Callithrix jacchus: one gene and its partners. The protein of the gene in region 1 interacts with the protein of each later gene in a biochemical or structural test. Links are inferred from orthologs where the notes say so. Each region holds a gene or a part of one and is shown on either strand. Other genes may lie near its edges.

What was found.
Region 2: the proteins of OCRL (region 1) and RAB6A form a complex in vitro, tested with the Homo sapiens proteins (2 studies listed by BioGRID and IntAct, with this or other methods). The link is inferred for Callithrix jacchus from reciprocal best matches to the Homo sapiens genes OCRL and RAB6A.
Region 3: the proteins of OCRL (region 1) and RAB5A form a complex in vitro, tested with the Homo sapiens proteins (2 studies listed by BioGRID and IntAct, with this or other methods). The link is inferred for Callithrix jacchus from reciprocal best matches to the Homo sapiens genes OCRL and RAB5A.
Region 4: the proteins of OCRL (region 1) and RAB8A form a complex in vitro, tested with the Homo sapiens proteins (2 studies listed by BioGRID and IntAct, with this or other methods). The link is inferred for Callithrix jacchus from reciprocal best matches to the Homo sapiens genes OCRL and RAB8A.
Region 5: the proteins of OCRL (region 1) and RAB31 form a complex in vitro, tested with the Homo sapiens proteins (2 studies listed by BioGRID and IntAct, with this or other methods). The link is inferred for Callithrix jacchus from reciprocal best matches to the Homo sapiens genes OCRL and RAB31.
Region 6: the proteins of OCRL (region 1) and CLTC form a complex in vitro, tested with the Homo sapiens proteins (2 studies listed by BioGRID and IntAct, with this or other methods). The link is inferred for Callithrix jacchus from reciprocal best matches to the Homo sapiens genes OCRL and CLTC.

What each region holds. Positions count from the first base shown.
Region 1 is NC_133524.1:125,242,973-125,247,916, forward strand, and holds part of OCRL (inositol polyphosphate 5-phosphatase OCRL), read left to right. Parts: intron 1-516; coding exon 517-682; intron 683-934; coding exon 935-1,170; intron 1,171-4,944. UniProt on the Homo sapiens protein: Catalyzes the hydrolysis of the 5-position phosphate of phosphatidylinositol 4,5-bisphosphate (PtdIns(4,5)P2) and phosphatidylinositol-3,4,5-bisphosphate (PtdIns(3,4,5)P3), with the greatest catalytic activity towards PtdIns(4,5)P2.
Region 2 is NC_133511.1:67,303,059-67,308,002, forward strand, and holds the end of RAB6A (ras-related protein Rab-6A), read left to right. Parts: intron 1-1,040; coding exon 1,041-1,107; intron 1,108-2,522; coding exon 2,523-2,587; 3' UTR 2,588-4,576; downstream 4,577-4,944. UniProt on the Homo sapiens protein: The small GTPases Rab are key regulators of intracellular membrane trafficking, from the formation of transport vesicles to their fusion with membranes.
Region 3 is NC_133518.1:58,489,075-58,494,018, forward strand, and holds part of RAB5A (ras-related protein Rab-5A), read left to right. Parts: intron 1-764; exon of another isoform or gene 765-865; coding exon of another isoform or gene 866-887; intron 888-2,358; coding exon 2,359-2,510; intron 2,511-2,737; coding exon 2,738-2,860; intron 2,861-4,006; coding exon of another isoform or gene 4,007-4,103; intron 4,104-4,660; coding exon 4,661-4,754; intron 4,755-4,944. UniProt on the Homo sapiens protein: The small GTPases Rab are key regulators of intracellular membrane trafficking, from the formation of transport vesicles to their fusion with membranes.
Region 4 is NC_133523.1:14,726,032-14,731,585, reverse strand, and holds the start of RAB8A (ras-related protein Rab-8A), read right to left. Parts: upstream 3,695-5,554; 5' UTR 3,681-3,694; coding exon 3,557-3,680; intron 1-3,556. UniProt on the Homo sapiens protein: The small GTPases Rab are key regulators of intracellular membrane trafficking, from the formation of transport vesicles to their fusion with membranes.
Region 5 is NC_133514.1:53,105,510-53,110,453, reverse strand, and holds part of RAB31 (ras-related protein Rab-31), read left to right. Parts: intron 1-318; coding exon 319-390; intron 391-1,427; coding exon 1,428-1,534; intron 1,535-4,944. UniProt on the Homo sapiens protein: The small GTPases Rab are key regulators of intracellular membrane trafficking, from the formation of transport vesicles to their fusion with membranes.
Region 6 is NC_133506.1:94,240,557-94,245,500, reverse strand, and holds part of CLTC (clathrin heavy chain 1), read right to left. Parts: exon of another isoform or gene 2,705-4,944; intron 2,336-2,704; coding exon 2,198-2,335; intron 1,955-2,197; coding exon 1,790-1,954; intron 1,638-1,789; coding exon 1,457-1,637; intron 1-1,456. UniProt on the Homo sapiens protein: Clathrin is the major protein of the polyhedral coat of coated pits and vesicles. Two different adapter protein complexes link the clathrin lattice either to the plasma membrane or to the trans-Golgi network.

The DNA of each region.
Region 1 (4,944 bases):
GTCCTAGCACTGCCATTTATTAGATGTATGACCTCAGACAAGTGTCTTATGCGCTCAGAGCTGCAGTTTCCTTTTCTGGATTAAGGGGTAGTTGTAAGGATTATATGAATTAATACATGGGAAGCTCTCAGCACAGCACCTGGCACGTAGTAAGTCCTCTGTTGTTAGCTGCTCTTGTTTAATGTTTCAGACTTGCTAGTTAATTCATATCTCAGAAACCATGACTTGGTCACAGGATGAATGCTCTGAACCAAGGTTGGGTTACCCTCTTAGGATCCTAGGAATGATCAGAGTAGCCTGGAGAAGTAGCAAGAGCCACCTAACTCCTTCTCTGCTGGTGTGAGTATAATAATATATGCAAGTGGATGCTGTGAAGTTGGTGTAGTTGGTGAATGTCTATGGCATCTGCACACCTGTTTAACAATTACCTTATTCCTCATATCCTCCATGGAATAATCCAACTGACTTACTTCCCCTACTAGTGATGCATGTTTGTGTCTGTCTGTTATTCCCCAGTTTGTGTTTGAAAATGTGAAGTTTCGGCAACTACAAAAGGAGAAGTTCCAGATCAGCAACAATGGACAGGTTCCCTGCCATTTTTCTTTCATCCCTAAACTTAATGACAGCCAGTACTGCAAGCCATGGCTTCGGGCTGAACCCTTTGAGGGCTACTTGGAGCCAAGTGAGTTTTCCCTTTACCGTTGTCTCTGCTTGATGTCCTCATGACTCCCATCCTTGGTATAACTTCCTGTTTTCTAACCACATGTCTCTTACCTTTACTGTCATATTGGTTATACCTCTATTGTGTGTCCTATCTTTTCCCCATCATTGCTTAATGATTTTTTTAGAGGACACTTTTCTGTTGGTTCTTATACTCTTTTTGCTTTCCCATTGGAAGTTTTTCTATTACCATGTATCATCTCTTACATTTCAGATGAGACAGTGGACATTTCTCTTGATGTGTATGTCAGCAAAGACTCTGTAACCATCTTGAACTCAGGGGAAGATAAGATTGAAGATATTCTTGTCCTTCACCTGGATCGAGGCAAAGATTACTTCTTGACCATCAGTGGAAATTACCTCCCAAGCTGTTTTGGTACATCTTTAGAGGCTTTGTGCCGCATGAAAAGACCAATCCGGGAAGTTCCAGTTACTAAACTCATAGACTTGGTAAGAACTGTCTCAAGATATACACCTCTTTTACATTTAATTTTCATAATACTTAAGTGATGTCTCTTTGTGCTTTCTGTCCTCTTTTGGCTGCAGGGAATGTCAAATGATAAGAATGTCACTCTATTCTAGCACTGTTTTTGATTAGGTTAAGCCTAAGGAAAGAGGGGGGATTAATCTGCAGTTGGCTCTTGTTGGGAGTACAATAGATAATACTAAGCTCACCAAATAAGATTAAAGACTCCCCTCTCAAAGGTAGAATGCTTATTTGTTAAGCTCTTCATATTCTTCAGTCACTTTTGTATAAATTAGCATGTACGTGAGGTATGCTAAGTGGGGCGGGCAGAATTATCCTCCCAGAGCATATGAGACAACTGAGGCACAGAGACATTGACTTGCCCAAAGTCGAATACCATCAGTTAGTAACAAATCCCAGATTTCCTGACTCCCAGCTTAGTATTCCTTACTAACACCACATTATATCTAATCAGAGTCAAACTTTGCTACTTATGGAAGCATAGAACTCTACCGGAACCCTGGAGTACCTAAATCAGAATCCCTGGGGAGCTGATTACAGGCATCTTCACGTCTGGCAATAGAATCAGAATCTCAGGATGTGGAGCTTACAAATCTGCATTTTATCCGCATTCCAGATACTTATATTGTACATTGAAATTTGATACTTATTTAATGTGACGTGCTTAAGAAAGGAAAGGAGGTTGATTTTCCCATCTCTCCCCAAGCCAAGCTATAATATTAATAATTTTATGAAGGAAGTACTTACTATCTTCAGTAACATAAATTGATTTAGTAATAAAGTTCATTGTGTTAAGAAATTTCCTTCTAAATGAAAATATTGTTGGATTGTATGCAGTTCTCTTTGGGCTACAAAAGTATATTCTTGGTCTTTTACCAAAGAAAATTAGGTGAGGTGACAGCATACATTGTTCTTACTGTTAGTATTCACATGGTCTTTAGGCCAGAGCCAGTGATTGTATCTATCTAGCAGGGAGGTCTAGACCAGTGAGCAGGCTTCTCTGGCTTGTCTGAGTCTGATCTGTTCTGTTGCCATGGAATTGTTTCAGCTGTGACTCAGATAGCAGATTAAAACACTGAGTCCAGCCCTGGCATTCTTTTTGGAATTATACTTATTTCCCCCGGGCCCTCATGACTGAGTATATTACCTCTGTTTGAGAGAGAACCATTTTTTTCAAAAATTCATATCTTACCATTCTGTTGTTTTTCATGATAATTGTTTCCCTCCTAACATTATATTTCTGTCTTTCATATTTTACTATTTCACCTTTTAAAATGCACTTTGGATGAAGTTATTTTTCCTTATTTCTCCTACCCCCTTTCCTTCATCTCAAACATCATTTCCCAGCTTTCTTTGTCCCAGCTTTTTCTTAAGAAAAATGTCAAATGTGCAGAAAAATGGAAAGAACAGTACAGCACACCCCCACATGCCTTCTGTATGTATAATACACACAGATTTTTTTGCTGTGTCATGAAAATTAAGTGGCAATATGTCACTTTACTACTAAACACTTCAGCCTGCATCTCTTAACAGAAAGGACAAACTTAAGCGCAATACCATTATTATGTATAAGAAAACTAATAGTAATCCATAGTATCATTTAACATTCGGTCCATATTCAGATTTCTTCAGTTGTCCCAAGAATTTCTGTTACACCTTTTTTTTTTTGAGACAGAGTTTCGCTCTTGTTACCCAGGCTGGAGTGCAATGGCCCGATCTCGGCTCACCGCAACCTCCGCCTCCTGGGTTCAGGCAATTCTCCTGCCTCAGCCTCCCGAGTAGCTGGGATTACAGGCACACGCCACCATGCCCAGCTAATTTTTTGTATTTCTGGTAGAGACGGGGTTTCACCATGTTGACCAGGATGGTCTTGATCTCTTGACCTCGTGATCCACCCGCCTCGGCCTCCCAAAGTGCTGGGATTACAGGCATGAGCCACTGCACCCGGCCAGTTACACCTTTTATTAAACCAAAATCCAGTCGGGTTCATGTAATATTTGGTGAGGTCTCTGAAGTCTCTATTGCAGTAGTACAGTTCCCACTTACTTTCTTTAGTGACACTGACTTTTTTAAGAGTCCAGTACAAATGTCCAGTCAAGTCTCCACCATTTCCTACATTCGTCTGGTTTCTTCTTTTTTTTTTCTTTTTAAACTTATCCCTTTTATACTCTCTTCTTCCCCCTTACCTCGTGTAAACTGGAACCTATCATTATTTTTGGTCAAAGTCAATGAAGGTATTAGAATATCTTTGCCATTAATATGAAAACCTTTGCAGTTTTTCATATTAATTCTGGGATTGGCCAGAAGAGGGTCAACTGGCATAAGGTTTTATGTAAAGTATAGTATCAGGTAATTCTACCATGTTTGCCCATGAAAAGAAAGTAACCAAAGTCATTAGAGGAATGAATGGCTCTTTGGGAAGCCTTTTTTTTTTTTTTTTTGAGATGGAGTCTCGCTCTGTCACCCAGGCTGGAGTGCAGTGGTGCTATCTCAGCTGACTGCAACCTCTGCCTCCCGGGTTCAAGTGATTCTCCTTCCTCAGCCTCCCAAGTAGCTGAGATTACAGGCACCTGATAACTTTCCTGGCTAATTTTTTTATATTTTTAGTGAGGCGGGGTTTCACCATCTTGGTCAGGCTGGTCTTGAACTCCTGACCTCAGGTGATCCGCCCGCGTCGGCCTCCCCTGGATTACAGGCATGAGCCACCGTGCCCGGCGGGAAGCCTTTTTCCTTTTTGTGTACGAGTGATGCAGGGTTAAAATAATAGAACACTGGTCATTTTTAATTATATAATTTCTGAGTTTTTATTAAATTGTATGTCATTTTTCTTTTAAAGCTTTTATTTTGTAGGATTTAGGGTTCTGATTTCTTTTCACAGTCTGTTGCATTTCAGTGTTATTAAATTTCTGTATCTCATTGATGAGGAAATTGTCTATACAGGTTGATTATCCATTATCCAAAATGCTTGGGACCAAAAGTGTTTCAGATTTCAAATGTATGCATTATATACTTACCAGTTCAGCTTCCCTAATCTGGAAATCTGAAATGCTCCAATGAGCATTTCCTTTGATCATCATGACAGTACTCAAAAAAGGTTAGAGTTCGGAGCATTTTGGATTTCCGGATTAGGGATACTCAACCTACATTAGTGTAGAAGAGTAAGCAAGAAATCTGAAGTAATTAGTACCCCATCTTTAATACCTTCCCACTGTTGTGACTTGATTTTAACCTTCAGAAATGATTCCTCAGGTATAATTTTCATGTTTTTCCCCCAAAACCCAATATCATATTTCAAATCTCATGAGATGATGCTATCAATAATGGTACCTGCCCTCTATTGTATTTGCTCTAAAATGTTGGTGAAGCCAGAAGTGAGTTTAATGTATGTGTTGTCTCTCTATGTCCTGTTTTAGAAAGATCCTTTTCCCACCAAATGCAGAGTGAAATAACTGACATAATTATTTTTCATCCTTCCTGCCCTTTTCATGACAGTGACTTTGCAACTCCTAGAATAGTTGGGATTAGCACAGGTAGGAAACAGATGAAAGTCTACCATTTGTAATCATCTTTATTCTTTTTCAGAATTAAGATAGATTTTTCTGTTGTATTAACTAGAATATTAAGTAGCAAATAATCATCAATATTGATTCATTACACACTGGACACAAAGTATGATGGAGTTTATGTGAGTTCCTATAATTTAGTGGTGATGAAAGTATACTTGCATGCACAATATG
Region 2 (4,944 bases), on another chromosome or scaffold:
TGTGTTGGACTTGAGGGGTGGGTATATTAATCTCTAGCATTGTGCTTTTCTAAGGAATGATAAAGGGTAATTTTCACTGGACTAACTTTCACAATATATTGTACACTTACTTCAGAACCTAACTCTTCCCTCCAACGCCCACCCCCCAAACCTGGTGCTCTGTTGCCCAGGCTGGAATGCAGTGGTACAATCTCAGCTCTGTAACCTCCGCCTCCCAGGTTCAAGTGATTTTCCTGCCTCAGCCTCCTGATTATGGGATTACAGGCGTGTGCCACTAATTTTTTGTATTTTTAGTAGAGATGAGGTTTCACCATGTTGGCCAGGCTGGTCTTGAACTCCTAACCACATGATCCACCCACTGTGGCCTCCCAAAGTGCTGGGATTACAAGCATGAGCTACCTGCCAGCTCAACCCTAACTCTTTACATGAAAGATAGGAATGCTACTATACATTTTGTTAAATGAATGATCTGCTATTTTTTCTGCGTTTCTGTAATCCTTTATTACTCAAATGACATTTTTGCAGCTTATTTGTTAATAGCTATTTGTTCATGTCTTATCAGTTAAAAAGCAGGAATCATGTCCTTTATATTTCTTAGTAGTTGTCATACTAGTTTTTATTTAATATTTATAGGATGAATAGACATTTGTTTGTTTGTTTGTTTGTTTTTGAGACAGAGTCTCGCCCTGTTGCCCGGGCTGGAGTGCAGTGGCATGATCTTGGCTCACTGCAGCCTCCACCTGGGCTGAAGCAGTCCTCCAGGCTCAGCCTCTCCATTAGTTAAGACTACAGACGTGCACTACCATGCCTGGCTAATTTTTGTGGTTTTTATAGAGACAGGGTTTCACCGTGTTACCCAGGCTGGTCTCAAACTCCTGACCTCAAGTGATCCGCCCACCTTGGGCAGATCCCAAAGTGCTGGGATTACAGGTGTGAGCCATTGCGCCCAGCATTAGACAGCTCACTGTACAGTGATCATAAACCCCAATACCCTTTGCTAAATGTTGCCTCTCAATTACCACTTTTCCCTCTTCCCACAGCTCTTTCGACGTGTAGCAGCAGCTTTGCCTGGAATGGAAAGCACACAGGACAGAAGCAGAGAAGACAGTATCCTTGTTTAATCAGAAATTTTTCATTGTTAACATTAGTCTTTAAAGTCCTGCTTGCTTGGCTAAAGAATATTATGCCATTGCCTTTTACAAACCAGGAACTGATGGCTTAGGGGCATAATTCAGAGGTTTTCTATAGCAAATGGGGTCAATGGGGTCTGGTTATCCAAGTGTACACTTTGTAGCCTGCTACTCATTGTTAATCAGTGAGAGGCTAATGTGTGTTTGCTTGCTTTTTAATGAGCAGGAAACTCTCAGAATGCCTGTCTCCTTGTCTCTTCATTTTGAGTCCCATTGACTCTGGGCTTTTTCCTCGTAGAATATCATATTTTCATTTCTTTCTTTTTCTAACACTTGAGCTTTCTACTTCACACAGGCAAGAAATAGAGTGGAGCTTTATTGTAGCCTCTGTTTTCAGAAACAGGACATAATATTAGTTCATTTCCAAGGATTAGAACATCTAACATTAGTTAATACTAAGGATTTTTAATTTGTTGTGTTCCATGTTTCATATTTACTTTCTAGTGTTTTTCCATATGCAGGCATTTTTACTAAGCCATATAGTTCATAGCACTTTGTATTCAGCTCTTCCCTCTTGTAAATGTTTTATGTTCTCATAAAAAACATAATTGTTTTAAAAAAACATAATATGTTCTTCATATCATATGCTTTGTAATATGTATCATGTTTCAAAACATAATATGTTAACTACTGAGTTGAAGTTTGTCCCGCATGCCCTTTTTTTTTTTTTTTTTTTTGAGACAGTGTCTCATTCTGTCGCCCAGGCTGGAGTGGTGCAATCTCGGCTCTCTGCTCTGCAACCTCTGCCTCCCAGGTTCAAGTGATTCTCCTGCCTCAGCCTCCCAAGTAGTTAGGACTACAGGCACAAGCCACTATGCCCAGCTAATTTTTGTATTTTTAGTAGAGATGGGATTTCACCATGTTGGCCAGGCTGGTCTCGAACTACTGACCTCAGATGACTCAACTGCCTCAGCCTTCCAAAGTTATGGGATTAGAGGTATGAGCCACTGTGCCCGGCCTGAAAGTCCCATTATTTATTAAATGTTTCCCCTGCTGTTGGAACTGTCTTACAGGCTATTTTTAGATTTATATTATATATAATTCTATGAGGAACATCATCTTCATGTCACTTCTTGCTCCTATAGAATAAGTTCCTTAGGATAGATACCCATAAATAGAGCTTGTACCTCATTCTGATCCTTGTTGTGTATAGTAGATACAAGCAAGTTTATTCCATTTGAGCACCTTATATGGTGAGGTGGCTATGTAGAAAATAGTGATTGTGTAGGCTCTGAAGTCAAATAGGAATATAAGGGCCATCCCAGAAATCCTAGTGTTTGGAAGAATTGAAACTGTACTTTCCCATTTGTGGCTCCTTAACTTTTGTTTCAGTGATTGACATAAAACTGGAAAAGCCTCAGGAGCAACCAGTCAGTGAAGGCGGCTGCTCCTGCTAATCTCCCATGTCATCTTCAACCCTTCTTCAGAAGCTCACTGCTTTGGCCCCCTTACTCTTTCATTGACTGCAGTGTGAATATTGGCTTGAACCTTTTCCCTTCAGTAATAATGTATTGCAATTCATCATTGCTGCCTGTCTCGTGGAGATGATCTTTTAGCTTCACAAGCACAAAAAAAAGTCAGTGTCTTCATTATTTCTATTTTACAAAAAGCCAAAATATTACAACATATTCCAGTGATAACTTTAAAAATTAGATACATTTTCTTAACATTTTTTCCTTTTTTTTAATGTTATGATAATGTACTTCGAAATGATGGAAATCTCAACAGTAGGAGTATGGCTTGGTTAATAAGCAGTATATTCACAGCTTACTTGATCTCTCCTTGCTTTTCTTATGTCTCTCTTACCTCCTTTCCCTGTATCTTACCTAGCCTCCCCCACTTCTTCAAAACAAATGAGATGGCAAAGCAGCAGTCAGACCAAGCCCATTGGAATTATCCTTTAATTTTACAGATACCACTTCCTGTAGGCCATGGGCCAAAATGTCCAAAATTATTCTTGAGCACTGATATGAATTACTTAGATCTTCTTTGGGATCAGAATTCAACTATCATGGTAGGCAGTGCTTGAATGAGAAAAGGGTCCTGGTGCATCTTCAAAATGAGTCCTAAAGAACATACTGAGTACTTGTAAGTAGAAGAACATAAAATGTATTTCTGACTAAAACAAATGGCCCTTTCACATGTGCTTTATTAGACCCTGGGAGAGAAAATTAACCAAGTGCTTCAGAACAGGTTTTTAGTATTCTTCATGGTAAAATAATGAAGTTCTAATGAACTGTTTCTCCCAAGGTTTTAAAATGTTAGGAGTTATTCTGTTTGTTTAAAAAATAATAACAAACCTCTTTAAGCAATAGATTTTGCTTGGGTTTTCTTTATAAAAAAAAAAATACTATGTAGGCAAGGCACTGTAAAAGTTCAGTTCCTTTCAGAAGAACCAGTGGAAGAATTTAAATTTGGCACTATGATCAAAACTACTAAATTAGTAGAACTAATGGTATCTAAAGCTTACCAACAAAAGAACCCTCAGGAGAATAGCAAAAACTTTGCTCAGGACATTTGAGGTCAAAATGAAGACGGAAGCCGTTTTCTTATAAGCCCCTAGAGGCAGATCAGGTAAAGCATGCATAGTAGAGGGAAAGGAGAGAATGGAAATAAAACTCAATGTTATGCAGATTTATGCCTTATTTTTTAGCATTTTTTAATGTTGGGTCTTTCAAGCTGGTTTTGGTTTGTATTAGATCTGTATAGTTTAATTAACTAGTGATTTAGTTTTATATTTAAGCTACAATTAATCTTTTTTCTTTGGTGATATTTATTTCTTTGCCTTTTTTTTTTTTAACAACTTTCAATTTTTAGATGTTTTGTTGAATCTATTTAGAGCTTCACCATGGCAATATGTATTTCCCTTAAAACACTGCAAACAAATATACTAGGAGTGTGCCCTTTTAATCTTTACTAGTTATTGTGAGATTGCTGTGTAAGCTAATAAACACATTTGTAAATACATTGTTTGCAGGAAGAAAACTTCTGAGTTACAGCTCAGGAAAAGCCTGCTGAATTTACGTTGTAAGCATTACTTAACACAGTATAAAGATAAAAAGACAACAAAAATACCTTCATACTTCCTTATTCCCTCACTGCAACAAAACCTTAAACTGGGAGAACCTTAGTCCCCTCTCTTTCCTCTTCCTCCTCCACTTCCCACTTATTGTCACCTTGTAATATTCAAAGAGCACTTGGATTATGGATCTGAATAGAGAAATGCTTACAGATAATCATTAGCCCACATACCAGTAACTTATACTTAAAGATGGGATGGAGTTGTAAAGTGCTTTTATAATACAATATAATTGTTAAAAGCAAGGGTTGACTCTGTTTTATTTTGACATGGCATGTCCTGAAATAAATATTGATTCAATATGGCAGATGGGTCATATTCTTTATTTGGAAGAAGTTGTGACTTCTGACACAGGGGTGATTGTCTTCCTACACTGTTGCGTTTGATTCTTTTTATGTATTTTTAAGAAAATAACCAGTTATGCTGCTTTTAACATTGGTCTTTTTATTTGGCTTGGAGTTCTTCAAAGTGTGTTCATAGTCCAGATTTTTTTTAATAAACACATTTTTGCTGCCAAAAATATATAAATAAAACACAAAAGAAAACAATTATTGACTTGGTTTCCCATTCCTACCAAGATGGTTAATTAGCATATGCTTCTCCCTCCCTAGACCTGTACCAGATATGGATGGAATCCAGAAAAATAACAAAAAATGTGAGGAACTCCTGGGGAGT
Region 3 (4,944 bases), on another chromosome or scaffold:
ACATCACTAATATAGTTGGCTCTGTGAATTTGTAAGTTCCACATTTATGGATGTAACCAACTGCAGGTTGAAAATATTAAAGGGCAAAAAATTCACTTAGCTCCAAAAAGCAAAAATTAAATTTGCCACACACTGAATACTATGTTGAATCCATGTGGATGAAGTGATGCTAGGTATTATGTTAGGTGTTATAAGTAATCTAGAGATGCTTTAAAGTATACAGGAGGATGTGCTTAGGTATATGCAAATACTTTGCAATTTTATATCAGGGACTTGAGCATCCTCAGATTTTGTTACCCGTCGGGGGATTCTAGAACCAGTCCTTCATGATACCTGGGGAGGTCTTGGAAATAGTCCTCCACTGATTCTGAGAGACAACTATGGTTATTTCCCTGAGCCTGAAGTTTACTTATGGATGTATAAATGAATGTTTTTACTACTAGTATACTGTGTGGTCATAGCATGTCTAAAAATGAAAACAGTCTGTATATTTTAATTTTCTTTTCCAAGTTTGCATCAAACTATACTTGAAAAAAGGCTTATGTATTGTGATTTATTTTCCTCTTTTCCTTTTTGATAAGAAGTACTGTCTTAGGGGCTTAATTTTAGTTTTAAAAAATTTTTCGATCCTACAGGAGAACTTCTCATGACCTTGAAAAAGTGACACAGTGTTCTCTGGGTATCCTTTACCATAAATGCAGTTTATTATAAAATGGATAATTCTGCTAATTGTTAGTTAAAAAAAAGTTTGAACTGGATTAGAATATATTTACAGTATGATTAGTGAAAATTCATAAATTAGAATTTAGGTGAAAGTAAAGACATTTACAGTATTGTTTGCAAAATTCAGAAGATTTTAGTTGTACTAAAGCCAGCAACCAGTTAACCTGAAAGAACATGAAAAGTAAATGTTAAGTCTAATATAAAAGAGCTATATCTCATTAGATTTCATTTTTTAGCACATTTGATACTAGTTAGTAAATCTCTATCAACATCACTAGATAAACTGCTGTAATTTAGAGAAATATATCGTAATTCTTTTGCATAATATGACAGTTTTAGAAAATTGAAATTCAAGTCCATACCATTTTGGGAATAGGGTTTGAATATCACACCTTGAGGTAAACATAGAAGGAAGGGAGGAGCATACCAATTAACAGTGAATGCTAAGAGCAGCAGCAGAGGGAAGTCTAAGCGGGGTACAGTGTGACATTTTGATACTAGAGTAATAGAGGAGAGGGATTGTTGCTATCAGCCATGCTGGCAAAAATGGCTCTGTGTGGGCCTTTTAATTTTAACAATAAAGTACTATTTAATAATGCTACTTTCTTATTGTTAGAATCAGGAAAAATACAGATCCAGAAATTCTTATGGTAGGGAGTGAAAGAGGTAGAAGCAAATATTGAATCAACTGAACAAATTAAATCTAGGTTAAGGTAATAATGACTACCAGAAAATGTCTCTCAGAAAAAAAAAAAAGAAAAAATATATATATGTAAATAAATATTAATTTGATGATAATGGACTGGGACTAAATTACCAATGTGTGCCAATAAAAACTAGTAAAATGGAACAGGACATGGTATTGGCAATGTAGATGGTAGTTAGAAGCATACTGGGTTTCCCCCCATTTTTTAAGACTATCAGTGCATTTCTTTAATTGTGAAGCAATTTAGAAATGTAGTCTTGGCTGGGCATGGTGGCTCATGCCTGTCATCCCAGCACTTTGGGAGGCAAAGGTGTGCAGAATACCTGAGGTCGGGAGTTCGAGACCGGCCTGGCCAACATGGGGATATCCTGTCTCTACTAAAAATAGAAAAATTAGCCAGGTGTGGTGGTGAACGCCTGTAGTCCCAGCTACTCAGGTGGCTGAGGCAGGAAAATTACTTGAACCTGGGAGGCAGAGGTTGCAGTGAGCCAAGATCACTCGAGCCTGGGTGACAAAGTAAGACTTTGTCTTCAAAAATTAAAAAAAAGAAATGTTAATCTTAAGCTTATTTAATTATTATTATAACAAACTTTTTTAACATGCAGAAACTTTTCAATCTGATTTCACTACAAAGGCCTTATATGTAAGCATATATGTAAATAGCTTAGAAGCATACATTTGTCAGTATTTAAAGCCATTATCAACTGCAGTCTAAGTTTCTAGGTGTTTGTTTTTTTTTTGGTTTGTGTTTTGTTCTTTGGGTTTTTTTTATTAAACCCTCATTTATTACTTTCCACTGACACGTAATAGTTGTACGTGTTTGTGGGGTACAGTGTGACATTTTGATACATGTATACAACCAGGTGTTTTCTATATTGTGAAAACATTTGGAGAAAAATGATTAACTTATTGCAGTCCTTTTCTTTCAGCTGCTTTTCTAACCCAAACTGTATGTCTTGATGACACTACAGTAAAGTTTGAAATATGGGATACAGCTGGTCAAGAACGATACCATAGCCTAGCACCAATGTACTACAGAGGAGCACAAGCAGCCATAGTTGTATATGATATCACAAATGAGGTAAGTACGGATGCATTCCACAGTGAAACTAACCTTTCTGCTGAAGCTTTTGTGACTTAGAAAATCTGGTTTAAAAATAAATAAAATGAAAATATCTCATAGTACAGTAGTCCTAATAATTTCTTTTCCACAGTCGCTTTGGACAGTCTTTTAAAGCCTTGTATCACAAAGATGTTTCCTAACCATTTTTTGAGCCTATGTCAAATAGTTGTTTCTTTGTTTAACAGGAGTCCTTTGCAAGAGCAAAAAATTGGGTTAAAGAACTTCAGAGGCAAGCAAGTCCCAACATTGTAATAGCTTTATCAGGAAACAAGGCTGACCTAGCAAATAAAAGAGCAGTAGATTTCCAGGTATGTTAAATTTAATTTTCATTTGAAAGGCACTTTTCTTCCTGTAAGTTTTTCTTTTGTGTCAACACTTGAATTAGTTTTAATGTTACAGCCATCAAAGTAATAGAAAATACAGATTTTTTAAAACAAATATGAAGTACTACATGTAGTAAAACACTTCTTCTGATAAACCTAAATTTGTAAATATATTATTGTAATATATAAACTGATTCAAAGATTTTGTAGACTTAAACAGTAAAGGCTAAGTGTGGTGGCTCATGTCTGTAATCCCAGCACTTTGGGAGGCCAAGGCAGGTGGATCACCTGAGGTTGGGAGTGAGAGACCAGCCTGATAAACATGGAGAAACCCTGTCTCTACTAAAAATACAAAATTAGCCAGTTGTGGTGGTGCATGCCTGTAATCCCAACTACTCGGGAGGCTGAGGCAGGGGAATAGCTTGAACCCAGGAGGCAGAGGTTATGGTGAGCCGAGTTCACGCCATCATATTTCAGCCTAGGCAACAAGAGTGAAACTCTGTCTTAAAAAACAAACAAACAATAAAAGTAGTCATTGTTCCCAGTGCAGAAAGTGATTGTATCCTGCTCTAATTCCTCTGTCCCACACATACTTTATGTCCTTCCTAATCCTCTTTTACTCATCTTCAAGTATGTGTCAGCACACGTGTGTACCCACACATATACATGCCCACACACTTGTGTGGTTGTTTTTAAAGGGGCATTGAAAAATAAAGGCTCTGCCAGTCTACATCTGGAGTTGAAAATAAAAAACTAAAAAATAACTTAAAAAAATTTTTTAAGGTTCAAAAAATTCAATATGTGTCTTATAATTGCTAATTCAGAATGTTTGCTGCCACAAAATAGAGCAAGTGCAATCACTTAAAAACAAAGCAAGTCCTCTACTTAGACCTTTTAAAACTGCGCCTGTTCTCTTGCTCTTTGGCTTCTCTACTAGAAGGGTGGTTGTCCTACTGTGTATATATCCGTGATGGAATACCTGTATTCTTGCATCATTAGGTACTAAGCTGAGCATGTCACACTTGTAATTTTATTTAATTCTTATGAAAATGATGTGAGGTATAGTATCATCTATTACTCTTTCCAAAATTGTTCCCTCCCCAGCACAAGAGTGATAAAGAAAACACTTACGTTACAGTCAGAAGTGGCCCGGTCACATAATAGTTCAGAGTAACCTCAGTTGTTTCTTTGTCCAGTGGGAAAGATAATTGGTTACCCCTCACAACAGCTATGAGGATCAAAAATAATAATAATATATGTAAACTGTAAAAGCATGACAAAAATGTAGGGCAGTGATACAATTTTCAAAGGAAGGATACATGATATATTCAGGATTATAATGTTGCTGTAGAAGTCATTGAAAATTAAATATGAGGTTGTTATTTAATGGTTGAAGCCAGTGTTAGATACTTGGTTTCCCTTTGTCTTCATTGCAGATAATAAGTGGAAATAAAAAGATTGCCATTGAGATCAAAGAGAGTTTTATTTAGAATAAGATAATTCTCCCCCATCTCTGGAACTCAGTATTTGAAAGCAGATTTAATGTAAGAACAGATTAATCAAGGTGGGATAATGCCAGAAGTTCAGACAAAAAAAGAAATCGTCCATTATAAAATTATTTTGCACAGTACTCTTATTGTTGTACTTATTACACAGTTGTTGATTATAGATGATTATAGTAGACAATCAGGTTGGAGTAGTAATAAGTCTCCTTTTCTGTAACAAATATAAAGCAGGTGTAGTGTATTTCCAAGAGATATATCTCATTTTTTGTTCTATAAACAGGAAGCGCAGTCCTATGCAGATGACAATAGTTTATTATTCATGGAGACATCAGCTAAAACATCAATGAATGTAAATGAAATATTCATGGCAATAGGTAAGATTAATCTCTCTTTTAAAATGATCAATATAAGTAAAAGTAAGTGTGCAGCATGTTTGGTTTGACTGTCTCTTGTTTAAAAAATTCCTGGAGTGGGGGTTGTGTGTGATCATGCCACTTTTCTAGGTCTCTTCCACAAAGCAATACTTTGTTGGTAATATTGTTAAGTTTGAAAGATGATTACCTG
Region 4 (5,554 bases), on another chromosome or scaffold:
ACCTTCTCTTTCCAGCCACACCATCCACACAGCTATTTCCTAAACATTCCAAGCACGCTCCTGACTCGGGGCTTCTACGCTTGCTCTTCCCTGTCCTGGAAAGTTCTTTCCTTCTGTAGCTCCCTGGCTATCCCTTTGTTCAGGTCCCTATTCAAGATCCCTCCCGAAGGGAGCCTTCCTGACCATCCTCATCCACTTGCTCTTACCTATTTATTAACTTATCCGACCTATATTTGTGTCACCAGCTGCATGGACCTGGGTGTAATGCTTGCAGATCCTAATGACCCGGGTGGACGAGGAACAGCCAGACTCAGCCTTTGCCACTAGGAGTTTCTTCAAATCCCTGCCGGGGAAGACTTGAGGCCCAGGCCTGGCTGGACCTCTCTGAACCCAGGGTGGGGATGCTAATTCCATCCAGCCAGCCTCAGCACTGGAATTTCGCCCTCTCAAACATAAGCTCCCTGGAGGCAGGGACTTGATGGTCTCATCCACTGCTTTTCCCTCCCAGTGACTCAATATGCATTTGCTAGAAGCTGGTAGCACAGTCCTGCGTGCACCTTGACTCACTCGGTCCTCTCTGCAGCCCTCGTGCCAAAGCGGCTGCCTGGCCCACAGAGGCCTTGGCAAAATATGGCCGGATCAAAGAAATAAAGCGCAACAGGGTCTATGCGGTGCTGAGCGGTTCACAAAGCACTTTCTCACACGCCAACCCTGTCACTGGAGGAATGAATGGGCCCCTGAGGAGTCAGTGGCACTCAGCCAGGCTGGTGAGAACCCATTCCAGGGAGCCACAGGGCCAAGTTCACACCACAAAATGATCGATGGGGCTTCTGAGAATAGATTTTGGCGATATGTTACTTTTGGCAAAATGTTAAGGACTGAGTGGCAGAAAATGAACAGCCACTCAATCCTTGGTCTATAAAGAAAACCCAGAGGTGCCCTCAGCCAACACGGAATCGCTTTTTTTTTTTTTTTTTGAGACAGTCTCGCTCTGTTGCCCAGGCTGGAGTGCAGTGGCACAATCTCGGCTCACTGCAACTTCTGCCCCCTGGGTTCAAGCGATTCTCCTGCCTCAGCCTCACGAGTAGCTGGGACTATAGGCAAGTGCCACCACGTCTGGCTAATTTATGGAATTGTCTTTAAGCATTGAGAGATTCTGCTTCAGGATTAGACAGCCCAGTGTGCCTAGGCTTCCTAAAGCATACCCCACCTCCTGCCATGCGTGCACAGGGACACACAAAATCAAGGAGCACTGTTAGGTTGGCTAAGCTCCACAGTAGCGCTCTGCCCTACACTCCTGCTGGGTTTTATTAACACGCCAAATTTAATTAGGAAGTGCAAACTTTATGAGACCTAAGAATTATGAGGCCTGAACTTCAAGGTCACGGTGAATTAGACTTTCCTAGAAGACAGAAGGCTACAAATGGAAGGAGCGGAACGCTGGGGTGGGAGGGAGGGATCTTGGGGTCACCTTGCTAGGTTAACTTTCACCAAGTCATATCCTCATCTGCAAATGGAAGATGGCCTCTTTAAAGCTTTAAAGTAACTCTAAAGAGGGGGTTTGAGGGGAAGGTGCTGAGGCTAGGAAACTGGGAACTGGGTAAATGCAAGCCACAGTCTGCCCACAGTTGTATTCTTTTTTTTTGAGACAGGGTCTCGCTCTGTTGCCCAGGCTGGAGTGCAGTGGCGCCATCAGAGCTCACCGCACCTTGACCTCCTGCGCTCAATCCACCCTCCCACCTAAGCCTCCTAAGTGGCTGGGTCTACATGGGTGAGCCACTATGCCTAGCTAATTTCATTTGATTTTTTGCAGAGATGGGGTTTTGCCCTGTCGTCCAGGCTGAATTAAAGCCACTTTTTGATTGGCTGGGGCACAAGGGTTACCCTAAAGCTTGGCCTTGGAGTGGGGGAGGGGGAAGAATTCAGAAACATCTGTCTTCAGAGGGTGGAAGCTGTCACCACAGGAGCCATTCATTTGTTTTCTCTAGATGGCCTCTGGTTGTGATGACAACCCCTTATTGTCTAATTCTAGTCCTCAACCACCAGGGCACTAGCCCAGGCAGACAGCGTCACTCCTGCTCTGAAGACAGCAGGGGTCAGAGAGGGGTAGTGCACGTTCAAGGGCCAGCAGCAACTAGGAACCAGACATGATGATTTCCAGTTAATTCTCTCTACTTTACATCTGGCATATAACTGTTTCATAAAGTGCAGCTCCTCGAGGGGGGCAAGAATGGAATTGGCACATTATCATGAGATTTAGGGAGATAACACGATTCTGTTGAAGTCACACATAAAGCAAAGGCCATTCTCTATGTTTTCTTGACTTTGAATAAACTCCTTGACTTAGTGACCGTTCCCTCACTATCCCCATCCCTAGCAGGGCTGCAGAGCTCACAGGCCACTCTGATCGGTGTTACTCCCAGGTCTAACCTTTTCATCGTGGGCCAGGACTGCTTCTGTGGCGCTGAGAGAGGTCAACTCTACTTCTGTGGACATCACAACTGAGACATCACAACAAGCCAATTTTGTTCAACCACGATGTGGGCTGGCCCTACGGGAAAAGCTGTTCTAAATTGACAACCGGTGTCCTGGGCCCTTTGATAGGGAAGTCAAGGCTGTCTGTGGCAGTGGCTGATTTAGTTTCTCATTGAGGGTTTTATCTTGCATCTTCTTGGGGATGACAGGTCCCAGGGCAGGCAGCACTGTCACTTGCCATTGCTGTCATCCTGGAGCAGGATAAAAGGCAGGCAGGGAAAAGGTCCTGACTCCTCTTATCATTTCTTCTAGAGGAAAATACACTTATGGGGGAAAACATGGCAAGGAGAGGGACTCAACCTCTGGATGCTCCAGAGAAGAGGAGGAATGGTGTGAGTTAGAGTCCCGGCTCCAAGGTGCATTAACTGAGTTTGTCATCAGCCAGGGGTGTGTGGTGCTAACTCTCTAGAAGAGCTAAGCCTCGAGTTTTGGGGTGAGACACAGCCAGGATTAAATTCCATTAAATCCCATTCTCACCACCTGCAGACTGTGTGGCCTTGGATAAGTCCCACGCCCTCCCTGAGCCTCAAATTACTCATCTGTGAGACGGGCTCATAACAGCACTTAAAACACCGAAACTAGAGTGTGGAAATGCACGTGAAGGACTTGGCACATAGCAATTGCTCATTAAGGCGACATGTCACCGTCTTTTTCCCACAGCCAATTCCTCATGACTCAGTTTCCACCTCTGTAAGACAGGAACCGCAAAAGAACCGCTTCGAGGGCTGCTGCTAGGACAGACCGAAAGGACGGGTGCGAAGACGCCTGCCCAGGACATAACACTCCCTAACGAGCGGGCTGAGGATGGGAGCCTCAGTCACCCCATCTGCAAAATGGGCACCTGGTCTCCCCCGCCACGGCCCATGAACCCCGAAACGGCGGTGCAGGCGGCTGCTCTTCTCCCTTCGACCCTCTCAGAGCCCTCGGCCCGCCCAGCAGGGTAGATTTCTCAGCCCCAGCCCCTCAGGGGCGCGCCCAGCCCGGGCCTCCGGCGCCCCTAGCCACTCCCGGATCCCGCTACCTATGGTGGAGATAAACGTGGAGTTGAAGGCGTCCTCGGAGAAGCGGAACAGGACACAGGTCTTCCCCACCCCCGAGTCCCCGATCAGCAGCAGCTTGAACAGGTAATCGTAGGTCTTCGCCATATTACACTCTCTCCCCGACAGGAAGTGCAGCTAGCGCCTATCCACTGGCCACCAGCCCCGTCCATCAGCGCCGAGCCCGCCCCTTATTGGCTCCAGGCCCGCAGCGTGTCACCGCGGCCGACACTCGCCCCTGAGTCCCGCCCGCCGCGGGGAGACCTGGGGAGGGGGCGAGCGTAGCGCGGAGCCGGAAGCAGCCCGAGCGTACCTCCCATTGGCCAGCACTGATATGAGGACGGGCTCTGATTGACCAGCAGTAAAGAGTCGAGGGGCTTCAAAGGGGGACGAGACGGGGGCGTGGCATTATGTGGCCCCTGCCTCCACCACAGACTCGGCGGCCCGGCCCCGCCCCAAAATGGGAGAGGGAAAGCAGCGAGCAGCGCCAACGGCTCGCGCGCCGACAGTCTGTGGGCGGGGCTTGGGGTGCGTGCGCACGCGCACCCGGAGGTCCGTTAGGCGCCAGCAGAGGGCGCACGCGCATAGTTGGGGAGGGTATCTCTGGGTCTCGCCCTCACAATTCGCGCAGCCTCAGTAGGCGCCGAAGCGAGCGCGGGAAAGGACTGAAGAGCTTTTTTATACGTCTGTGGTCTGCCGGGGCAGCGTGAGCCGAGGGAGGAAGGAGAGAGGAAGCGCTGTATAATCGAAAAGTGACCCCCGAGGCGAGATCCGAGGTCTCGGCTGTGGCTTGGCAACCTGCTTAGAGATACCCAAGCTCTCCGCCACCTGAGCGGCGTCACCGCCACGAGCTGTGCCCCAAGGCGCGCGCCGTCCCCCTCAGGGCCCGCCCTCGGCCGCCTTAGGGGTTGTCCGGGCCAGCCTTGCGGGTTAGGGCAGTGAGGATGCTGGGTCCTATCTAGGGTCGGCGGTTCTGTGTCTGGTGGTCCTCTCAACATTGAAAAAACAGACCGTCGCGGTGGCTTCCGCCTGTGATCATAGCGCTTCTGGAGGCCGAGGCGGAGGATCGCTTGAGGCCAGGAGATTGAGGCTCCACTAGCCTTGATTGCCCCACTGCACTCCAGCCTGGGCGACAGAGCGAGACACTCGAAAAAAGAAAAGGAGGGATACATTAGGAAAATCGGGCTTGCAGCCGGGTCTGGTGGCTCATGCCTGTAATCCCAGCAGTTTGGGAGCTGAGGCAGGCAGATCACTTGAGGTCAGGAGTTCGAGACCACTGCATTCCAGCTTGGGTGACAGAGCGAGACTCTTTCAAAAAAAAAAACAAAACAAAAAAACTTAAAAAAAATTAGCCAGGTGTGGTATTGCATGCTTGTAGTCCCAACTACTCAGGAGGCTAAGGTGGGAGGATCCCTTTAGCCTTGGAGGTCAAGGCTGCAGTGAGCCATGATTGCACCACTGCACTCCAGCCTGGGTGACAGAGCAAAGCCCTGACTTAAAAAACTTTAATCCCAGTACCAGCCCAGCAAAATGATACTGTTTTTTTCCCATTTGATGGTGAGAAAACTGAAGCCAGAGGAGGTTAAGTGACTTTTTCCCCCTCCCCACTCAAAAGTAGAAGTTGGTATCAGAATTCAGAGTGCCAGTCTTCCCAGGCTGCAATTTGCTCACTAGGGCTTCCTGCTTCTTAGAGATGGCCCAGTCTCTCTTAGGTCACTCTGGGGCCTCCAGGGCCTGGAGGCTCACTTAAGGGTCTGCAGAAGGATGGCCCCAGCCTTTCCTCCTCCCTTCCACTTCAGCTCATTCTGCTAATATAGCTCTGGCTAAGAAAAGCTTCAACAAGAGCCACTGACCACTTCACAGGCCTCAGCCTCTGTGGGATTTGAAAGTCTTGACCACCTCTGAATAGTCTATTTTTTCTTGGTATCATCCTCATTTTATTTATGTACTTATTTTTGAGACAGGGTCTTGTTCTGTCGCCC
Region 5 (4,944 bases), on another chromosome or scaffold:
ACTATCCGCGTGTTGTGGCGCATGCTTGTAATCCTGGGTATTCGGGATCTTGAGGCCCGAGAATCGCTTGAACCCAGGAGGTGGAGGTTGCAGTGAGCCAAGATCATGCTACTGCACTCTATCCTGGGTGACAAGAGTGAAACTCTGTCTCAAAGAAAATAAAAGAAAGTAAGTAATAATATGAGCACTGAAAAAATTAGAGGGGGAAGGAATTTAGGGATCCTATAGGGATGATGTAGGATAAATATTTTATATTTAATTTGGGATTGAATAAAGTCTGTTCACTTTGGCCTAAAACCTTTCATTGTTCTTAAACAGTTTCATTCGTTGGCTCCCATGTACTATCGAGGCTCGGCTGCTGCTGTTATTGTGTATGATATTACGAAGCAGGTAAGAATGTCTCCTTCAGAATTTAGATGCCATTTATGGCAGGTGTCTCACTTAGAGAGACTGAAGCAGAGATGTCACTGCTTGCATCTTGCCAGCAGCCTGCCACTATATATTGAGTTTATTTCATGTATATGTAACAAAACATCCCACATTATCTGCTAAATTAAACAACAGTGACCATTCATTCTTAAAACTGACTGTAGAGGCAAAGTCATGTCTGCTGGTACTATTTTGCAGAATGTCAACTTTTTAAGAAAAGGAAAATTGTTTTTAATTTCTGCATGCTTTATAATTATGGAATACTTATTTTTGTTAGTGTTTCAGTCATACTACATACTTAAAATACCAAGCATAACGTTTATGTGTATATAAGTTAATATGTGTGTGTTCATATAATATAAATGTATTTTTATTTATCATGTTGAAGGTCTTAGACTTCCATCAACAAGTAACTGCAGTGGTTTGATGACATTTTTTCTGACTCCTGCAACTTAAATTATTTACTTTTTTCCTCTGGAGTGTTGCCTCAGCACCTACGACTGTTAGTTTAATGACCTATCACTGTTATCTTCCACGAATTCCTGACCTCTTCTACCTAAATGTGGCGTGTTGTCCTCCACCTGTTTTCTAGAGGACGATTGTGAGTGAAGGCTCAACGGGAAGACAGGACTCTAAATATATGTTTATTTCTAGGTGTAAGTAAGCATGAGCATTTACTTAGTCCTGTTATTCTTACTCATGTGCGGAGTCCAGGCTATCATTTTAAATTGATTTTGCTATATAAATTTATAGGAGAAAATCAAGGATACAGTTTTCCTAACTAGATCGAGTTTTAATTTTGGAAAACTTTATATGGTCAATTTAAGTGTATTTCAGCTAACATTAACTTTTGTGCCTAGCCAGAGGTAGTGTGTTAATCTGCATGAGTCTCCTAAAAATATTTTTCTCCATTAAATGGTACTGGGTTTGTATTTCTACTTGGTTGAAATATTATATTGAGGGGTCTTTCCAATGATGTGTATATACTGTTGTTTTAGGATTCATTTTATACCTTGAAGAAATGGGTCAAGGAGCTGAAAGAACATGGTCCGGAAAACATCGTAATGGCCATCGCCGGAAACAAGTGCGACCTCTCGGATATTAGGTAACATGCATTTAAATCTCTTTTGTGGAGATTTTATCCTCCATCTCTGAATGTCATCCTTGAGTGTACAAAGGTGTCACGCCTTTGTTATGTCTGCCCTCGGTGTAATAACTTAATTAATGGCCTTTCACATGTGGTAGACAATATGGCATTGATTTAACCAGTGAAGAAATAAGAGAATATGCTAGGGAAATGCAAATCTGATGTACCCTACAGTGATAAATATTAAAATCATAACTCCTGTACATAACACAGTTACATCCCTGACTCTACATATCTTTGGGCTAGATGGTTTATTATTTCTGTTGTTACTTTTTCCATTGTTATTATCATTATTACTGCTAGCACAATTTTAGCAACACTTTTCTATGGTAATCACCATTAGAATTCTTAATATTTTTCATAGTATACCTGTTTGTTTTAGTTCTAGATTTTATCTTAAGGGTATAGTCAAGTACATAATATCACCATTTTGTTCTAAAATCAGAATACGACACATTGTATGTGAGTACCTTGACTTCCCCCACAGTGTTGGGTTATTGAACTTGCTATAATCTGGAAAGAAGTTGTGAATCCAGTACACATGAATTAGAGATTTGATGATAGCTTTACCGAGCCTGGTAAGCTAGGTATTTTGCTAAATAAATACATTATTTTAAAAAAGGAAATAGTAAAATTGTGGTGTCTCCATTCCTTTGGTTAATTTAATTCTCGGGAATTCTAGTAGTTGATTTTCATAAAGACAACTACATCATGCTTCTCGTTTTGCAAATCAAAATGTGATTAAACCAAAGTGAAATAAATAGTGGAAATGGAGCTTGCAAAAGCTCTTAACATAGCATTTAACAAATTGTTCGTTTCTTTGGGATTTCAGAAGCTTTATATCACATTGCATCTGGTTGGTTTATAATAACAGCCATAAACAACACCTAATCGTTTGTTTTTCTGGTATTTGGACAAGTCTTTAAACTTCCCAGACTTAGTTCAGCTATCCACCTTCTTTACTGTAATCCTCAAACAACTTGCTTGTCTAGTGTTCCCAGCAGAATCACCTTAACCTTTGTCTTGGGGAGGGCAGGATAAGTGGGTAGAGACGACTTTGCTGTTGGTACTATCTCTAACATCTCCTGATTATGGGACTGATGTGCACCTTTAAGTGGAACCAAGTCCTGTGTATTGTGGGAATGCTGATGGACTAGAATTTAAGCAGAAAACGATTTAAACTTGAATAGTATCAGTTAGGATTCTTGGTTACATGGAACCAAAACACAATTCAGGAGAAAGGGGAATTTATTGGAAGGTACTGGCATCCACATGGTAAAAACAGAACTGCCTTGAGCTCTGGCATTTGACCTATTCCAGAGTTAGTCTCTGGAGAGATACTGGCCTGGCATTCTCTTCATTTCCAGTCTAAAATGCCAGAGAGGAATTCCCCACATTAAGAACAGGCGTATACGTCCAAGAGGGAATTGGGTAATACGAGACGATATTTCCCAGCGTTACTATGAGAATGGGAAGGCGGGTGGTCTTGAAGAGGGGCAATTCCTAGATAAGTGAGTCTGGCGAGACAAACATATCCGTGACACACTGGTGTGGCTACCAGCACCCAAAGATACTCTGTGTTTCAGGGTGGAATTCGCCTTTTATGTACAGGTACAGCATTCTTCCTGATGGCCATTCTGATTTGTGCTCAGCTGATTCTAATATGTGCAGTTTTCAAAGTGCCGCAGCTAACATAATCTATTCATCTCACTTCCAACCATGAATTTACTTGCAGCTTCTCTATCCTCAGTGGGAGAAAATGCAGGGCCATTTTCTCACTGCTTCCTCTAGTGGTGGTGTCATGGGGCCACTGTCCCATGCATCCTGCCTCCCTCGTAGTATCTTTTCGCCTCTTGTTTGGCCTCAGAGAGGTCTGAATGTGGCTCCTCAAGATCCCACAATTGTGTTTTAAAGTGTGGCATGTATATCTTTTGTTATATACAGTTATTTTAGATGGTACTTGTTATTTAATCAGGCAACAAGAAGCTGACTGACTTCAAGCCTCTGATTAGGTCAACTAGAAAGACTAGTTGAACATGAAGTAATTTTTAAGTTTTTAAACATTTAATATGTTGTATTGAGGTAAATTACAAAACATCACATTCACCTGTTTTAAATGTACAGTTCAATGAATGTTAGTATATTTTTAGAGTTGTACACTCATCTCATATCTAATTTTAGAACATTTCCATCACTCTGTGAAGAACGTCATGCCCATTTATAGTCACTCTAAATTTCCAGCTCCTTCTAGCCCTGGTAATCACTAATCTACCTTTTCGTTCCCCTCAATTTGGACATTTTTCTGAACATTTTGCATAAATGGAATCACATAATATGTGGTCTTTTGTGACCACCTTCTTTCAGCTAACAAAATGTGTTTGAGGTAGCATGTGTCAGTCATGCACTCATTTTTATGGCTGAATAATATTTCATTGTATAGATATACCACATTTACCATGTGTGCATTTATTCATGCACACATTAACATTTGAATTGTTTCTACTTTTTTGCTATTATGAAAAATGTTGCTATGAACAATTATGTACAAATTTTGTGTGCATGTATGTTTTCATCTCTCTAGGATATGTACCTAGGAGTGGAATTTCTGTGTCATATGATAGCTCTGTTTAATAATTTGAGGAACTCAAAAACTGTTTTCCAAGGTAACTTGGAAAGATACTCCGAGATATCCACAACCTCACACTTATTACCTGTCTTTTTGATTATAGACATCCTAGTGGGTATGAGATTGTGTCATTGTGGTTTTCCTAATGACTAATGATGTTATAATAGATATATTTTCACATGTTTATTGGCCTTTTATATATCTTCTTTGGAGAAACATCTCTTCAAATTCTTTGCCTAAATTTTAGTTGGATTATTTGTCTTTTTATTATTGAATTATAAGGGTTCTTTATGTATTCTGAATAAAAGTTTCTTATCAAACACATAATTTGCAAATATTTTCTTTCATTCTGTGGGTTGTCTTTTCACAATTTTTACTGTGTGCAGAAGTTTATGTCCAGTTTATCATGTTTTTCTTTTATCTCTTGTGCCCAAGTGATTGGCTAATTGAACATCACAAATATTTATGAATGTTTTCTTAGTGCTTACATTTAGGTCTGTCATCCAAATTGTTACTTTTTGTATGTAATGTAAGATAGAAGTTCAAACTGATCTTTTTCCATGTGGATATCTAATTACGCCAACACTAGTTGTTGAAGAGATGATTTCTTTCCCTTTGATTCTTTTGGGGGCCTTTGTCAAAATTAGTCAACCATAAATGTGGTCTTATTTTTGTGCTTTTAACTTTATTCAGTTGATCTATATGTCTGTCCTGATATCAGTGTTACACTATTTTGATTGCT
Region 6 (4,944 bases), on another chromosome or scaffold:
TTTCTGCAATGATGAAAATTTTACCTTTGCCCTCCAATATAAAGCCACTAACCACATGTGGCTATTAAGCACTTGAAATGTGGCTAGAGTGACTGAGTAACTAAATATTAAATTTTATATTTTAATAACTTTAAATGGCAATAGCTACTACATATGGCTAGTGTCTACTGTACTAAACAGTGTAAATTTAGTGCAGAGTTAACATTTTTGAAACTGGGAAAATGAAGAAAACTAGTAGAATCTCTTACCCCTTCTCAATAGAGCACTACTACTAAAAAGAGGAGAGAAAGGTAACTGGGGACCAGAACTTAGTCACCCAACAGTGATTATGTTAGTACCCTGTACAGCAGTGGTTCTCAACTGAGGTGATTTTCCTCACAGGTGACATTTGACAATGTCTGAAGACATTTTTGGTTGTCACAACTGGAGCTGATGGGCTCAGTTTCTAGTGGGCAGAAACCAGGAATGCTGCTAAATATTCTACAAGTATGGGAATACCTCTCTACAATGATTGTTTAGCCTTAAATGTCTACTTAGTTCTAAGGTTGAGAAATCCTGCTAATGACAAACCACAAAATGCCCTTGGCTAGAATCACCTGCCATTATAAGACTCAGATATATAAGCATAAAATGTTATTAAACCTGATCATTAGTACAGATTGAGTATCCCTTATCCAAATGCTTGGGACCAGACATGTTTCAGATTTTTGAACTTTGGAATATTCACATTATGTTTACCTGATCAACATCTCTAATCTGAAAATCCAATTTCTGAAATGCTCCAACAAGCATTTCCTTTGAACTCAAAAAGTTTTGAACTTTGATGCATTTTGGATTTTCAGATTAGGGACACTCAACCTGTATTTTCACTTTTTACAATTTAAACATCACTACATATTTTTCTCTTAAAATTCTACCTTTAATTCATCTATAAAATATCCAAACAGATGGTCTTGTTCACTGCATATCCTTAGGATCCAATATAAAAGGGCCTTGATGACATTATTATTATTATTATTATTTTTCCCTGAAACAGAGTCTCACTCCGTCGCTAGGCTGGAATGCAGTGGCGCAATCTTGGCTCACTGCAACCTCCGACTCCCAGGTTCAAGCAACTCTCCTGCCTCAGCCTCCAGAGTAGCTGGGATTATAGGCACGTACCACCACGCCCAGCTAATTTTTATATTTTTAGTAGAGATGGGGTTTCACCATGTTGGCCAGGATGGTCTCGATCTCCTGACCTTGTGATCTGCCTACCTCGGCCTCCCAAAGTGCTGGGATTACAGGCATGAGACACCACGCCTGGCAACATTTACTGAATAACAAAACTTAAAAAATTAAAATGTCCCATAGAACCAAATTTTTAGAAAGACAAAATTTCCAATAGCCTGATCATAAGCATACCTCTTCTTGGCTATCTTAAGTACTTTTTACAAACTCAAAAACTCCTAATTACCTTCAAAACTCTTGAAAGATTCAAAAAGTTCAATCAGAGACTGAGTTGACAGTTGTTCATGATATTTAGAAGCCACCTGAACACAGATCTGCAGATTCTGACGAATATTGGCAGACAGCATGGCTCTGAGACATTCTAGAGAGTCTTCTACTGATAAGGAACCAAAGTAATTCACTAACCACTACAAGACAAAATAAATGAATGAATGAATAAATGAAACAATGTTGAAACTCATGGAGGTATGAAATTATTAATATTTAGTACTACAAACACATTTTCAGTGTGCCTATTAATCACAACTAACACCATCTATTAGGTAAGAAACTAAAATACCTCAGGGTTAAGAAGATGGGTGTGAACCACTGCACGTTTTATATCATATAAATCAGTGAAGTGTTCTAATGCACGCTGCAGTAAGCCAGCCTTTTCACACAGCTGAGCGATATGAGCCCGGTCATAATGCGTGAACATCTGATTGCCTAGAATAGCATCTGCAACCTGTAAAACCACAAATAAGGTAAGTTTATTGTCCATCCCATTTATATGAGTAATTCAATATCCATATTACATATTAAGGTTTAATAGTGAACTGATAAAAGAAAGTACAAAAGAATATATAATAGCTAAATTTTCTTGTATAAGGAGTAGGCATCTCAGTAGCTTTGAATAACAATCTGAGATGCTCTGCACAATTATTAAAGCAATATTGGAAACATGCCTAAAAAACATTAGAACACATACTTGAGGCGCATGCATAAGGTTCATCTCAAGTAACCGCGTCTGTAAAGGACCTTCAGATGGGCGATTATTCTTCAGTGCATCAAGCAAGAATGCGGTACATTGCTGAATTAGATTGTATTCCATAAAGACATCTACAATCTGCAAAAAAAGAGATAAAAGAAATTGTTTAAAGATACTATGGAAAGTATGTAGACAAAATTATGCACAAACTCTTTCTTTACCTGAGAATTTATTTGGACACTATAAATGCTTTAAGAACAAATTTTGTCTTCTAGAGAACATAGTTACTTTGAGTTCTGATAAAAACAACTAAAATATTTCAAGATATTACATACTAGCAGAATAGAATCAAACAGATAGACCTTTATTTTTACGAACTTTTGAAAAACAATAACATAAACAATATGAAGAACTCTGAATTGGAAGACTCACACTTCCGGTATGCATCTCTTCCCTCTCCCCACACTTAGGAGCAACCACTATCCTGTTTTATCACCCCCATGTATTTTTTTTTTTTTAATAACTATTTTTCTATTTATTTGAAGCACAGTAAAAAAAGAAAAATTGGTACACTTTGGAAATTCAGTGGCACAAGGTACACTGCCATAACTTGAAGGACATTATACAGTAAAAAAAGAAAAAATAAGGAAGTAAGAAAAAAAATTATCCTGTTTCAAACAACTGCATTACATAATTTTACCTGCCCAAACAGACCATTTACAAATATTAGGTCAATAAACTACTAACATCCATAAAAAGATAGCTTTCTTACTAAAATGTCAGAATTTAAAAGATTGGTATCTAAACAAAAGACAAAACAAACTGGAATGAAAGCCTAGATATCACATCTAAAATCGGGGTTTTTCTGTTTGGGCCTTCGTACTCTTCTCTCCCTCTACCATATCCTGCTGGAGTTCCAGGCCCCATTCCTCTAGGACCCTGTCCACCCACAGGCCCCGCACCTCCTTGCCCAAAGTGCTCAGTACGCATGTCACTTCCTATCATGGAACCACTCATGGTTGCTGGTGGAACTCCAGGATTAGCTTCATAACCTATGCCACCACCACCACCTAGAGGTGGAAATTTCTGGCCTCCTGAACCATAGGGATCTCCCATGTTCATTGCTCCTCCGCCACCCATTCTCATGTCTCTTTCTCTTGGATCCATGTAGCCCATTCGGCTATAACTTTCCTCTCTTTGGCGCCTCATTTGTTCTTTCATCTCACGCTGACGAATCATCATCTCTTCCTCTCTTCTATGTAGTTCCTCCTCTTGCCTCAATTGCATTTCTTTACGTTTCTGCATTTCTTGATTATGAAGTTCTTCCATGCGTCTTAATTCTTCCTGTTGTCTCATCAGATCTTGGTGCAAAAGATTTGCCTATGTTCATGATAGGCATCTTCCATTTCACTTTCCAATTTGTCTTTTGCATCCTTCATATTTTTTTCATTTGTTCTCTTTGCTGTTTTTCCATTTCATCCAACGACTTCCATCGCTGAGAATATTCGTACTCAAATGTGCCATGCTGGGCAAAACGAGGAGTTTCTCCTTTTGATACATCGGATTCTTCTGCGCAAGTTTTTCAGGAAGACCATCTTCATCAGCTAGCTGTTCAAGTGGTTCCACGATGACTGGACGAGGAGTTGTTGTCAGCAAGAAAACATCTTCACTGCATCGTTCAAATGCCTTTCTTGCTGCTGGTTTAGAAGCAAATTCAACAATGCCTTTCCCTGTAGATCTTCCACGATCATCCACTATTACAACAGCCCTTTCAATAGGACCAAACTGGCTGAAGGCTTCTTCCAACAGTTCACTGGAAACGTAAGGTGAAAGATTATGAACAAAAAGGGCAGCAGCATGTGTGGCAAAGCGAACTCGAAGCTGTCTACCTCTCATGGGCGTATCATCGAGCTCAGCTTTGGCAATTTCAGCCAAAGCTCTGGATTCAGGCTTAATAAATCCGAATCCTTTGCCTTTGTTGATTAAATCTTTTCCAGGTTCTCCATATTTAACAAATAGTCTTCTGAATTCATCTTCCGTGATATCAGCAGGTAGATTCCCAACAAATAACCGACATCACTGTGTGTAAGTTTTCTCTCCAGGCCTCCTCAAGAGAGAGAAGTTGGCTTTAAAACCCCTCCGAGTCCGAGATTTTCTCCTTGCTGCGGCCGCTGGGCCCAACGGGCGGGGGGCCACTGGTAGTGCTGCTGGTGGTAGGGCGGGTGGTGCTGGTGGCCCCCGCGACGCTCACCGCCGCCTCGTTGCGGCGGCTTCAGGTGGCCTCCAGGAGTGCTTAGGCCCGGACCGCCACCTGGCTTTGGCCCACCAGGCATTTTGCCGCCTTTGGGACCGCCCGGGCCTGGGCCCTGCTTAGTCCCCGGACCTGGGCCCGGCCCGTCGCGGGAGGAGGCGGCGAGCCTCCTGCCTGAGGAGGCGTGGTAGGGACCCCAGTGCTTGGCGGGGTGGGTGGCGGCGTCCGGGGAGGGGCCGAGGTGACCGCGGTCAGCGGGGTCCGGGTCGGGCCTGGCCCGGACCCTGGCTGGGTCCCCGAGGTCAGCGGAGTGGTGGGCGGGGCCGAGCTGGAGGCTGGCGGCGCGCTGCCTACTCCGGGAGCAGGACCGGGTACCTGAGCAACAATGGGCTTGCAAGAGTCCTGCGGCGGTGGCAGCGGCTGCTGCTGCTGCTGTGGCGGTTGCTGCTGCTGTTGGTGTGGAGGCGGTGGTGGGATCGGAGGCTTGGGGCCGCTC